Callithrix jacchus: one gene and its partners. The protein of the gene in region 3 interacts with the protein of the main gene of each other region in a pairwise test. Links are inferred from orthologs where the notes say so. Each region holds a gene or a part of one and is shown on either strand. Other genes may lie near its edges.

Evidence for each region.
Region 1: the proteins of HOXA1 (region 3) and CHRD interact in binary tests that used the Homo sapiens proteins (3 or more experiments, as listed by UniProt). The link is inferred for Callithrix jacchus from reciprocal best matches to the Homo sapiens genes HOXA1 and CHRD.
Region 2: the proteins of HOXA1 (region 3) and RGS20 interact in binary tests that used the Homo sapiens proteins (3 or more experiments, as listed by UniProt). The two-hybrid records come from large-scale screens. The link is inferred for Callithrix jacchus from reciprocal best matches to the Homo sapiens genes HOXA1 and RGS20.

Annotation. Positions count from the first base shown.
Region 1 is NC_133516.1:13,356,849-13,360,598, forward strand, and holds the start of CHRD (chordin), read left to right. Parts: upstream 1-1,374; 5' UTR 1,375-1,383; coding exon 1,384-1,531; intron 1,532-1,722; coding exon 1,723-1,826; intron 1,827-2,271; coding exon 2,272-2,401; intron 2,402-2,557; coding exon 2,558-2,686; intron 2,687-2,777; coding exon 2,778-2,877; intron 2,878-3,002; coding exon 3,003-3,090; intron 3,091-3,450; coding exon 3,451-3,592; intron 3,593-3,694; coding exon 3,695-3,750. UniProt on the Homo sapiens protein: Dorsalizing factor. Key developmental protein that dorsalizes early vertebrate embryonic tissues by binding to ventralizing TGF-beta family bone morphogenetic proteins (BMPs) and sequestering them in latent complexes.
Region 2 is NC_133517.1:807,090-810,773, forward strand, and holds the start of RGS20 (regulator of G-protein signaling 20), read right to left. Parts: upstream 2,951-3,684; 5' UTR 2,846-2,950; coding exon 2,684-2,845; intron 1-2,683. UniProt on the Homo sapiens protein: Inhibits signal transduction by increasing the GTPase activity of G protein alpha subunits thereby driving them into their inactive GDP-bound form.
Region 3 is NC_133512.1:31,001,668-31,004,911, forward strand, and holds the end of HOXA1 (homeobox protein Hox-A1), read left to right. Parts: coding exon 1-471; intron 472-942; coding exon 943-1,274; 3' UTR 1,275-2,715; downstream 2,716-3,244. UniProt on the Homo sapiens protein: Sequence-specific transcription factor. Regulates multiple developmental processes including brainstem, inner and outer ear, abducens nerve and cardiovascular development and morphogenesis as well as cognition and behavior.

The DNA of each region.
Region 1 (3,750 bases), on a different chromosome or scaffold from region 3:
CGTGTGGCCCTGTCTTAGGAGAGACAGCTGCTGGACCTCCCCGGCAGACACCTCCCTGCTGGCTCCCCTTTTCCTTTGGCCCTAGCTCCAGCTCCTTTCGTTCTTCCCAGTCCCAGTCTCCCCACAGTCTCTGTCCTCAGGGGCTTCCTGGCCTGACCTTGTTACCATCATCCCCCGCCCCCCAGAACTTCCTCGGCCTCTCTCCCGTTCCTCCTCGCCAAGGATGGGCATGCCTGCTGAGAAGTGTGGCCTAGATCCTGGAATTTTCCTGCTCAGCCAGACGAGATGTCTCCTAAGATTAGGAAGGAGGGTGCTGGGACGCCTGGGAGGATGGTGGGTGTGTGTGGGTGGGAGGGACAGGGAGGCAGGCGCCACCACCGAACCAAGATAAAGGAGGTTGGGAGTGGGCTGGAGAGGCAGAGGGTCTCTTGGGTGAAGGAAGGGGGTGAGAAAGCAAGAGGGGACATTGGAATGGGTCTGAGGATACGTTACAATGAGAGGGAGACACTGTCACTCCACAGAAAGGGGGTAACAGCAGAATGAGGAGCGGCCTCAGAGAGGAGGTAAGGAGGCAGGCTAGGCAGTGAGAGGCTGGCGTGGGGTTTGAGGGGTGCTGTGGACCCAGGCAGGGGGGAGATCCGTTGATGGGGCTTTCTTGTACATTGTCATCTGCAAGGGCAAGTCTTCATCCTTCGGGCGGGCAGAACAGAACCGGGTCCTCGCTCACTGAGCGGTCCAGGCCTCAGGCCTAGCCTCTGCCCCTCCCTGGCCAGAGTCTCCCGTCCTGGGCTGGCCACCGACCTCCTGGTCCAGCCGCCCTGTGGCCGCCGGCGGGGGGGCGGGGGGGCTCCGGGCCCGCCTCTCCTCCCCCTCTTCGCGCCCCCTGGTCCCTCCCCTCCCCCTCCCCCGCCCCTCCCTCCTCCCCTGCCCGGTCCCAGCCCCTCCCTCCCCTCCCCCACCCGCGATCCGGGCCGCCGCCGCTGGGCCGGACCCCCCGGGCTCAGCCCGGCCCCTCGCCGAGCCGCCGCCGCCGCCCCGTTTGCTGAGGAGGAGGCCCCCGGCCGGGGCGTTGGGCGCGAGGCATAAAACGGGCCGGAGCCGGCGCCCGGGGCAGTAGAGCCGCGTACGGCCCGGGTCAGTGCCCGCCTGCCTGCCCGCGCTCCTCCCTGCTGCTCCTCCCGCCCCGCCCGGCCCGGCGCCGACTCTGCGGCCGCCCGACGAGCCCCTCGCGGCACTGCCCCGGCCCCGGCCCCGGCCCCGGCCCCGGCCCCCTCCCGCCGCACCGCCCCCGGCCCGGCCCTCCGCCCTCCGCCCTCCGCCCCCCTCCCTCCGCCCGCTCGGCGCCCTCCTCCCTCCCGCCTCCCCAGCTGTCCCGTTCGCGTCATGCCGAGCCTCCCGGCCCCGCCGGCCCCGCTGCTGCTCCTCGGGCTGCTGCTGCTCGGCTCCCGGCCCGCCCGCGGCGCCGGCCCTGATCCCCCCGCGCTGCCCATCCGTTCCGAGAAGGAACCGCTGCCCGTTCGGGGAGCGGCAGGTAGGTGGGCGCCCGGGGGAGGCGCGGGCGGGAAGTCGGGCTCGGGCGCAGGTGGCTCGGCGCGGCTGGCGGCCGGAGGGTGGGCGGGGGCCGAGGGGCGCGGCGCCCGGGACCTGGGACCCGTGGGCAGCCCCAGGGGCGGCACACGGCGCGAGCAGGGCAGCGGCCGCCAGCCAAGCCCGTCCCCGCAGGCTGCTCCTTCGGCGGGAAGGTCTATGCCTTGGACGAGACGTGGCACCCGGACCTGGGGGAACCCTTCGGGGTGATGCGCTGCGTGCTGTGCGCCTGCGAGGCGGTGAGTACACCCCGCAGCCGGTCCGGGCCCTGGCGGGCGGGTGGGGAGCCCCGGGGTGCGCGGGCGTCGGAGTGAACTCGGAGCTGCCGAGGAGGAGGCCAGTCGGCAGAGGTTGGGGGGCGGTTTCTGGTGGAGGAAGAGGAACCGGCCCCTTCAAGTCTTAGGTGCTGACTGTGACTGATCGCCCACCCTGCGCGAGGCTCTGTGCCAACTGCGTTTCGTTCCCTGCTCACCTAACTCCCCTGGCAGCCTTCCTAGATAGACAGTATTATTATTCCCATTTTCCAGACGGGGACCGTGAGGCCCAGAGAGGTGAAGCAGCTTGTGTAGGGTCACGAAGCTTGCAAGTGGCAGAGCTGGCAGACTCTGCGGGACATCCTTGCCCGGGGGTCTCACCAGCTGGCATCTTGCACTCACTTGGTTTTCCCGCCTTTTCCGGGAGCAGCCTCAGTGGGGTCGCCGTACCAGGGGCCCTGGCAGGGTCAGCTGCAAGAACATCAAACCAGAATGCCCGACTCTGGCCTGTGGGCAGCCGCGCCAGCTGCCGGGACACTGCTGCCAGACCTGCCCCCAGGGTAAAGCTTGCTCCGCCCTGCGGGGAGGGCTGCGGGCCTTGATGCTAGGTCCCGAACCACTTGGATGGGGCGGCAGACTGGCCTTTACCACGGGCCCGCTGAAGCCCGTGCTCCCCTCCCGCTCCACCCCCGAACCACCCCCCCACCTCTTCGCAGAGCGCAGCAGTTCGGAGCCGCAGCCCAGCGGCCTGTCCTTCGAGTATCCGAGGGACCCGGAGCATCGCAGTTACAGCGACCACGGAGAGCCAGGCACTGAGGAGCGGGCCCGTGGTGACGGCCACACGGGTAGGGGGCTGGTGGACATTGGGGTTGTGGTTGAGGCTGGGCCACCAAAGCAGCGTTTGACAGTGCTCAGGCCATCTTCCTCCTGTCCCAGACTTCGTGGCGCTGCTGACAGGGCCAAGGTCGCAGGCGGTAGCACGAGCCCGAGTCTCGCTGCTGCGCTCTAGCCTCCGCTTCTCCATCTCCTACAGGCGGTGAGAAAGGGGAAGGAGCAAGGAGGGGTCAGCTGCCGGCCGGCCGGCCGGGAGGGAAACTGGGAGAGCCGGGAGGAGGAGCTGCTTTTGGCTCTGACCGGCCTCACCCGACCTCTCATTCCCAGGCTGGACCGCCCCACCAGGGTCCGCTTCTCAGATTCCAATGGCAGTGTCCTGTTTGAGCACCCTGCAGCCCCCACCCAAGATGGCCTGGTGAGATGATGCCATTTGTGAGCACTGGTCCAGTCTGGGCACTGTGCTGAGAGCATTCTCTGCATTGCCTTCTGTGGTCCTCACCACAGCCCAGTGGGAAGAAGGCACTGACAGGATGATGTCCATTTTACAGACAGGGGTACTGAGGCTCAGTAGGAGGGTGGGATTCTTGGAAGTACACAGCTAGCAAGTGGTGCAGCCAGGGCTGGAACCCAAGCATCTGGCTCCGGGGTTCTTTCTTAAGCTTCCTAGGGCACCCTGGAGGCTCCTTCCCATGTTCCTTTTTCACCAGGCCTTGGCCTGCTAACTGGCCTAGCCAGCGCAATATCTGAGCGTAGGGCCCTCTTGTCTATGCTCCAGGTCTGTGGAGTGTGGCGGGCAGTGCCTCGCTTGTCTCTGCGGCTCCTTAGGGCGGAACAGCTACATGTGGCACTTGTGACACTCACTCACCCTTCGGGGGAGGTCTGGGGGCCTCTCCTCCGGCACCGAGCTCTGGCTGCAGGTAGGGAGCACAGAGCCCCGGGTGTGGAGCTCCAAGTCTTCTCTGTCCCCAGGAAAGGGGAGGGAGGTTTCTGACGGGCTCTTGTCATCATCCCTTCCCCAGAGACCTTCAGTGCCATCCTCACACTAGAAGGCCCCCCACAGCAGGACGTAGGGGGC
Region 2 (3,684 bases), on a different chromosome or scaffold from region 3:
TGAAGGGCTTTTGGGTTGTTTCTGGTTTTTGGCTATTACAAATAAAGCCGCTGTGGACGTTGGCAAACAGCGTTGATATAAATGTAGGTTTTCCTTTCTCTGGGATAGACGCCTAACGGTAGCTGTGCATTCAGTCTTATGAGAAATTGCCAAATTGTGTTCCAGACTGGCTATACTATTTTACATTCCTATCAGCAATGCCTGAATGATTCAGTTTCTCTGCGTCCTTCCAGCAGCTGGTGTCACAGTTTTAGCCATTTTTATAGCCATTATTTTTTTCATTTTAGCCATTCTGCTGGGTGTGTACTGACATTTCCCTGTGGTTTTAACTTGCAGCTCCCTAACGGCTGACAGTGCTGCCTATCTTTTCATATATTGATTTGCCATCTGCATAAGCTCTTCGGTAAAATGCTTGCTGATGTCTTTTGCCCAGATTCTTGTTGGACTCTTTGTCTTTTACTCTTGAGTTTTGAGAATTCTTTATTCTAGGTTCAAGGCTTTTGGCAGACATGAGGGTGAAAGCATTTTCCTGCCATGTGTATGCCGTCTTTCATCCTCTCAACAGTCTTTGGCATGACAAAAGCTTTTAATTCTAATGAAGTCTGATTTATTGGTTTATTTTCTTGAACTGATCATGATTTTTTGATGTCTGTGTACTCTTTGCTTAGCCCTAGCTCATAAATATTTTCTCTCATTTTTTTTCCTAAAAGTTCTATAGTTTCACATGGAGTTGTACATTTAAGTCCATAATCCATTTGGGGGTAATTGTTACATAAACTGCAAGGCGTAGGTTGAGGATTTTTTAGAATTTCTCACTGACCCCCGGACATATAGACACATTTTAGCCCAAGTTCCCTCTCTCTGCCTCTACATGTATGTTGTTAGACCTTATTTCACATGTACCTTAAATTTCACTGCTTTCATTCTAACACCAGGCTTCTTCAATCGTCTTGTCCTATACTGATCATATTCCTTCCCTAATATCTTACTGATTGAATGTACAATTGTTATGTAGGTATCTTATATTATTAACATGAGTCACGCTGATAATATGCTATATGCTTGTCTTTCTCAATATAAAGTAAGTCTCCAGAAAGGAGGGAGCATATCTTGCTGTTTCTCTTTATTTCCTACAGCTCCTAGCCCAATGTTTCGCAGTTAGTAAGGATTCAATGATATCTGCGGACTCAAAATGAGTTGAGTGTTTCCATCCTTTACATTTGCTAGAAGGGCACGTTTCCTCTTTCTGTATTCAGATGCAATATAAAAAGATTTTTTTCAAAAGGCAAAACTGAGTGAAAGAGCCAGTAGCATCCCAAGTGGATTTCTCCCTTGCTGCTGCTGTGCAGGCTGGAGCCTATTAGCAGGTCAGTGAGGTTAGGATGGAACTTAGGCTGCTCAGCACCGGCGTGTATGGTCGATTCTGGGAAGGTGCAATACTGATTCTTAAATGTTTTTGCATTTTGTCTTTGATTCCACTTACAGCATACCTTCTCAACACACTTAGAACTCTGAAATTATATGTGTGTGCGTGCCTGTATATACATACATACATACACAACAGCGCACATACGCGTCACACAGTGGGTGTATTTGTTGTTGTTGCTGTCTGTTTCCTCAAAGTAGCCTCCACGTTCTGTATTTCAGAAACATCTTTTGCATGTGTTGCCGACATTAAGATGTCCATTAATTCGGGACTCTTGGTCACTACATCCCATTTCATTGCAGTTTCCCAAACTCCTAGTGCTCAGATGATAATTTGTGTTAACCCTTTTTATTTTTATTTTTTTCCCCTCCGCTAATGCCAAATGGTTAAAATAACATGAGAAGAAAGGGCAGATCTAGAGAATTACATAAAGAATTTGCAAATAAATGATGATTATTATCAGAATATGAACCACGGCAAGAACAGGTGAATTTTCTGGTGTTAAAGTATTGGAACAGTTTTGTAGTTTTGCAGCATTTAGTTCTGAGTGTGCGCATTGCTCATTAGACATTAACACATGTCCGTATTCTACACCAAGGAACCTTTCAGGAGATAGTTCTATTAATAGCTAAGAGGATTTACAGGCTCACACTGTATTTTCTTCAAAGACACGTGTAACATCCAGCAGGAAAACTGTCACTCTTTGCATAAATAATGTGATTACCTACTGATACAAACTCATGACGTGCTTAGGAAATGCACGTCAGGAAACTTTGATTTTGGAAAAATCAAAGTTTGGAAACCCCTTAGCTCTTTAATGTTCTTATGTTCCTTTATTAGTTTATCATTTTTTTCCTAGGAATTATTTTAGAAAGCAGTCCGTAATTTTTCTTTCAGTATTATTATATGGGATATAATATTTATATCGGCGAAAGATACCCAAGGGCTAATACCAGTAGCCACAAAATCTGTCTAGATTTGCTGAGTGTTATAGCCTGAAACATGCAAACAAACAAAAAAGCAATAAACTATCATTTGTTTTGGTAAAGGGACTCTGTATAGACAGGAGAAAATTAGATAGATCAGGTAATTACCTTCTAGGTTCTAGATTTCCCTAGGGGTTGGTTTGAAAACATTTTCGATCAAACGTTAAGATAAGTGAGCAACGGCACTAAAGCTTGCCTATAGTTTATATTCGTTCTGAGTAAACACCTTCCCTTGACAGGAAAGGATCATGGATTGTGGAGATCATCTTACCTTGAAGTCAGGCGCAGCCCTGGGGTCTCCATTTTCTGTGGTTTGGTGAATGTCTGCGTTATATCTCTGAGCCCTAAACAGGGGCAGAAACTGCGTCCATATAGACGGCCTGGAGAAATGTTTCTGGAGGCACTCTTGGCTATCTTGGGAAAGCTGGGGCATGTTTTTACAATAAAGGCCCCAAATGAGTCCTGTGGCCTGGTTATGCCGATATTAGCACAGGATCCACTCTGTCTCTCTTCGTTCGGCTAATGCTGGGCTGGCTCTGAGTCTGTGGGGAGGCTCCTTGGAAAGTTACACTAATGAAAGCAACAGGATTATCTGCTGTGTGGATCAGTAGCTTATCCACAGATCTTTCATCTTCTATTCTTGGTAGAGCTGCTTACTTGAATGTCTAGGTGCCGTATGTTATGAGTGCCCTCTAAAGGTAGAAATGTATTCTTAATTCAGATGTAATCCTAAATCGAAACGGAAAGAAATGATCCAAGTGATATACAGCTTAGCATATAGTGATAAACAGATTTCCTGGCAAAATTCTGTATTAGTGGCATGTGACAGGCAATAGTACTTGACAATCTTGGGCTGTGCAATTGACAGACAGGTGGTTGGCCCAAACTTTCCAAGTTGCTTAAAAAGTTATTTTAATTGCAATCAACTCTTTAGCTAGAAACTGATGCAAAACTCATACCCAAACTTAAACTCAAGGGTTATTTTGCTTTTTATGTACATCATGTGGAATAAGTTACATTGATTTTCTTATGAGACAACTAGACAATAAGTAAGCCAAGAATTGACTTCTAACACTACTTCATATTTATAAACTGCTTTATAAATGTAAGATTATTAAGCAGAAAGGAAAAGATAGAATACCTTTCTGTCAAGAGGTAACTAATGCCCAGGTAGCTTCTGTTGGGTTTGAGGGTGCACAAAGATAAGAGATGTATATTGCTGGGGTCTATAAACTAAAGAGTTTCCTTTCGTAAAACCGCTTTATAGATTCA
Region 3 (3,244 bases):
AGATCGGTTCGCCCCACCACCACCACCACCACCATCACCACCCCCAGCCGGCTACCTACCAGACTTCCGGGAACCTGGGGGTGTCCTACTCCCACTCGAGTTGTGGTCCAAGCTATGGCTCACAGAACTTCAGTGCGCCTTACAGTCCCTATGCGTTAAATCAGGAAGCAGACGTAAGTGGTGGGTACCCCCAGTGCGCGCCCGCTGTTTACTCTGGAAATCTCTCATCTCCCATGGTCCAGCATCACCACCACCACCAGGGTTATGCTGGGGGCGCGGTGGGCTCGCCTCAATATATTCACCACTCATATGGACAAGAGCACCAGAGCCTGGCCCTGGCTACGTATAATAACTCCTTGTCCCCTCTCCACGCCAGCCACCAAGAAGCCTGTCGCTCCCCTGCATCAGAGACATCTTCTCCAGCGCAGACCTTTGACTGGATGAAAGTCAAAAGAAACCCTCCCAAAACAGGTCAGTCCTGGAGGTTGGTGGATGCTCCTTGATTAATCTGGAAGGAGCTGATATGCTTAATTTCCAAATAAAATTAATAATTTTTAAAATAAAAGGCTTTTGTATCGAACTAGTGTTGTAGTGCATGAAGAGCATGGAGAGGGTGCCCAGAGGTGTTGGGGCAAAGAAGCTTCAGGGACTGGTGTGTTTTCAAGGATTTTATACATTAGGGAAGTAGGAAGTGTGTGGGGATGGTGATTGTGAAGGTAGTGGTCTGTTAATATCTCCAGGCTCCATTAATCACCGTCTGACCACGCTAATGGTTGACTTCAGGTTAACACTTTACACCTTATCACTCACCCTCCACAGCTCGATTTGTGTTGAGTTCTTGATCTTTCCTTTACCTGAGTGTTGCCACGAAGTGTGTAGGGGATTTCAAGTTGATTTAAAAATTTTTACCTTTCCGTCTCATGGCTTCCCACTTTGCCCCAGGGAAAGTTGGAGAGTACGGCTACCTGGGCCAACCCAACGCGGTGCGCACGAACTTCACTACCAAGCAGCTCACGGAGCTGGAGAAAGAGTTCCACTTCAACAAGTATCTGACGCGCGCCCGCAGGGTGGAGATCGCTGCCTCCCTGCAGCTCAACGAGACCCAAGTGAAGATCTGGTTCCAGAACCGCCGAATGAAGCAAAAGAAACGGGAGAAGGAGGGTCTCTTGCCCATCTCTCCAGCCACCCCACCAGGAAACGAGGAGAAGGCCGAGGAATCCTCGGAGAAGTCCAGCTCTTCGCCCTGCGTTCCTTCCCCGGGGTCTTCTACTTAAGACACTCTGACTACCTCCCACTGAGGCGGCTCCAGCCCCTGACCACAGCCCAGGCATCTCTTTGGGCTAGGACTTCTTACCCAAAGCACACGCTTAGCTTATTTTTCTTTCCATTTACAATGTCTTTCTTTCTGATCCTATCTGGGGAGCTCCTGGCCAGGATAATGTGTTTGCAGATAATTCTGGACCAGAGACTTGGTAAGGGTTAACACCTTAATCCAGATTGGGTGCCAGCATCAATTTTCTGGTGGGCCTTAACATCCCTCCTGCTTTTAGGAGAATTCACAGAACCTGCTGTTCCTTTCAGATGCCCTTTTGGAAAATAGTTCCCTTTGCCAACAGAAACATGTCAGAGGGAATCTTCTCATCTTTTTATCTAACTACATGTACAGCTCTTCCCTCCCTTGCCCTTGAAAGTAGGATGTAGTAAAAGGAGAGTCCAGTAGCTCACGAAGAAGAGATGCACTATGTGTTTACACAACTAATTCATCCCTAATTTAATTCAGTTTCATGTGTGTGAGTTTGCTGTTTGTAAATACTTTGTCCTGAGAGATTTATCTTTTTACAGATTTTCTAGAAATGTTTAGATTAGATTACTAAAACAGGGTGGGCAAACTCTCAAAACTGGTACAATTTTATATGTGCTTATAGGTGAAAGAACAAATTCCCTCATTTAAACCCAATCGGATGCCTCAGAGGGTAGCCTCAATTTGTTCTTACAGTTAAGAAGGCCTGCAGAGCACAAAGTTCAGAAACCAGGCTTCCCGTGCTAAGTCTCTCCTAATCCCTACCCCTTTCTTCTCGGGCCACCCTCCGTTTAAAATTTGTGCTGGATAATCCAGAACCTAAAAGTATTATTCCAACCAACTTCTTCCTTCCACAGTTATCTTAGCTGGATATGTTGTATTTTCAGCTCAATTGTTAATGTGATGGATGGCACAATGAATGTATATTTTGTGTGATTCGTGAAGTCTTTTGCATGTCGCACAATGTTTGATGTTCCCGAAGTACCACACTGAGTTCTATCAGTTATCCTTTGTGAGCCTATGATATTCTCCATTTCCTGTACAATCAAGAACAGCTCTGAGATTCTAGAGTGATATGATCCAGAGCAGAGTTTACGGGTTTTAGGATGTCTGTAATAAATATATATACAAGTTTCAGGTATGCTTAAGCATCCGTGTATTTGGCTGGGCTACAATTTGTTAATTCCTACATTGGCACATTTCATGTGGGAAAAGGGAGAAGGGTAAATATTTTCAAAGAGATGAAACTTTTCTTGAATAAAAGTTAATGTTTTCCATTATCATGTAGCTGAAACTCCCCCATGAGTATAATTTCCCTTAACCAATGTCTGTTTAATAGGTTGATTCTCTTTAAAATTACAGCTCCTTTATTATAATCAAAGCTCATAATGAAAAAAAAAGACTGGTGAAGAAATTTATGAAGCAGATTTATTTTTGAAACAAACATGGATACTTCCTGGGTCAAGTGCTAACCTTTTCACCTCCAACTGGATGTTGACGTATATATAAACAGAACTCCCTTCAAAAGCCCAAACTGTCTTCAGTCAGTCTTTCCTCACATCAGTGAACCAAGAGCTAAGAGATTCACATTTAATTAGCTCCAGTATAAAGCTGTTGTGAGGATGGGGCCCTCATTCTACTCCTTTTCCTTCTTTTTGGGTTGTCAGGCAGAATTCCAATATATTCCACCCTTTAAATGTAGTGTTTTTAGTAAACCCTTGCATCCCTTTCCCCATTCTTCCTGTCAACATATATCCCTTCCTGTAGCTCTTCCCCGCTTCTTCCCCATCTCTGGATTGCACATCTCATTTCCTTCAGACTCAGTTTTGATTTTATAGCCATCATGGCTGTAATGGATCCACAGTTTTAATTCCATGCCACATAACCCAGAAAAAAATTATTTTCTTCTCTGGGCTCAACAGGTACTTCCAGGTGAACTTGTGG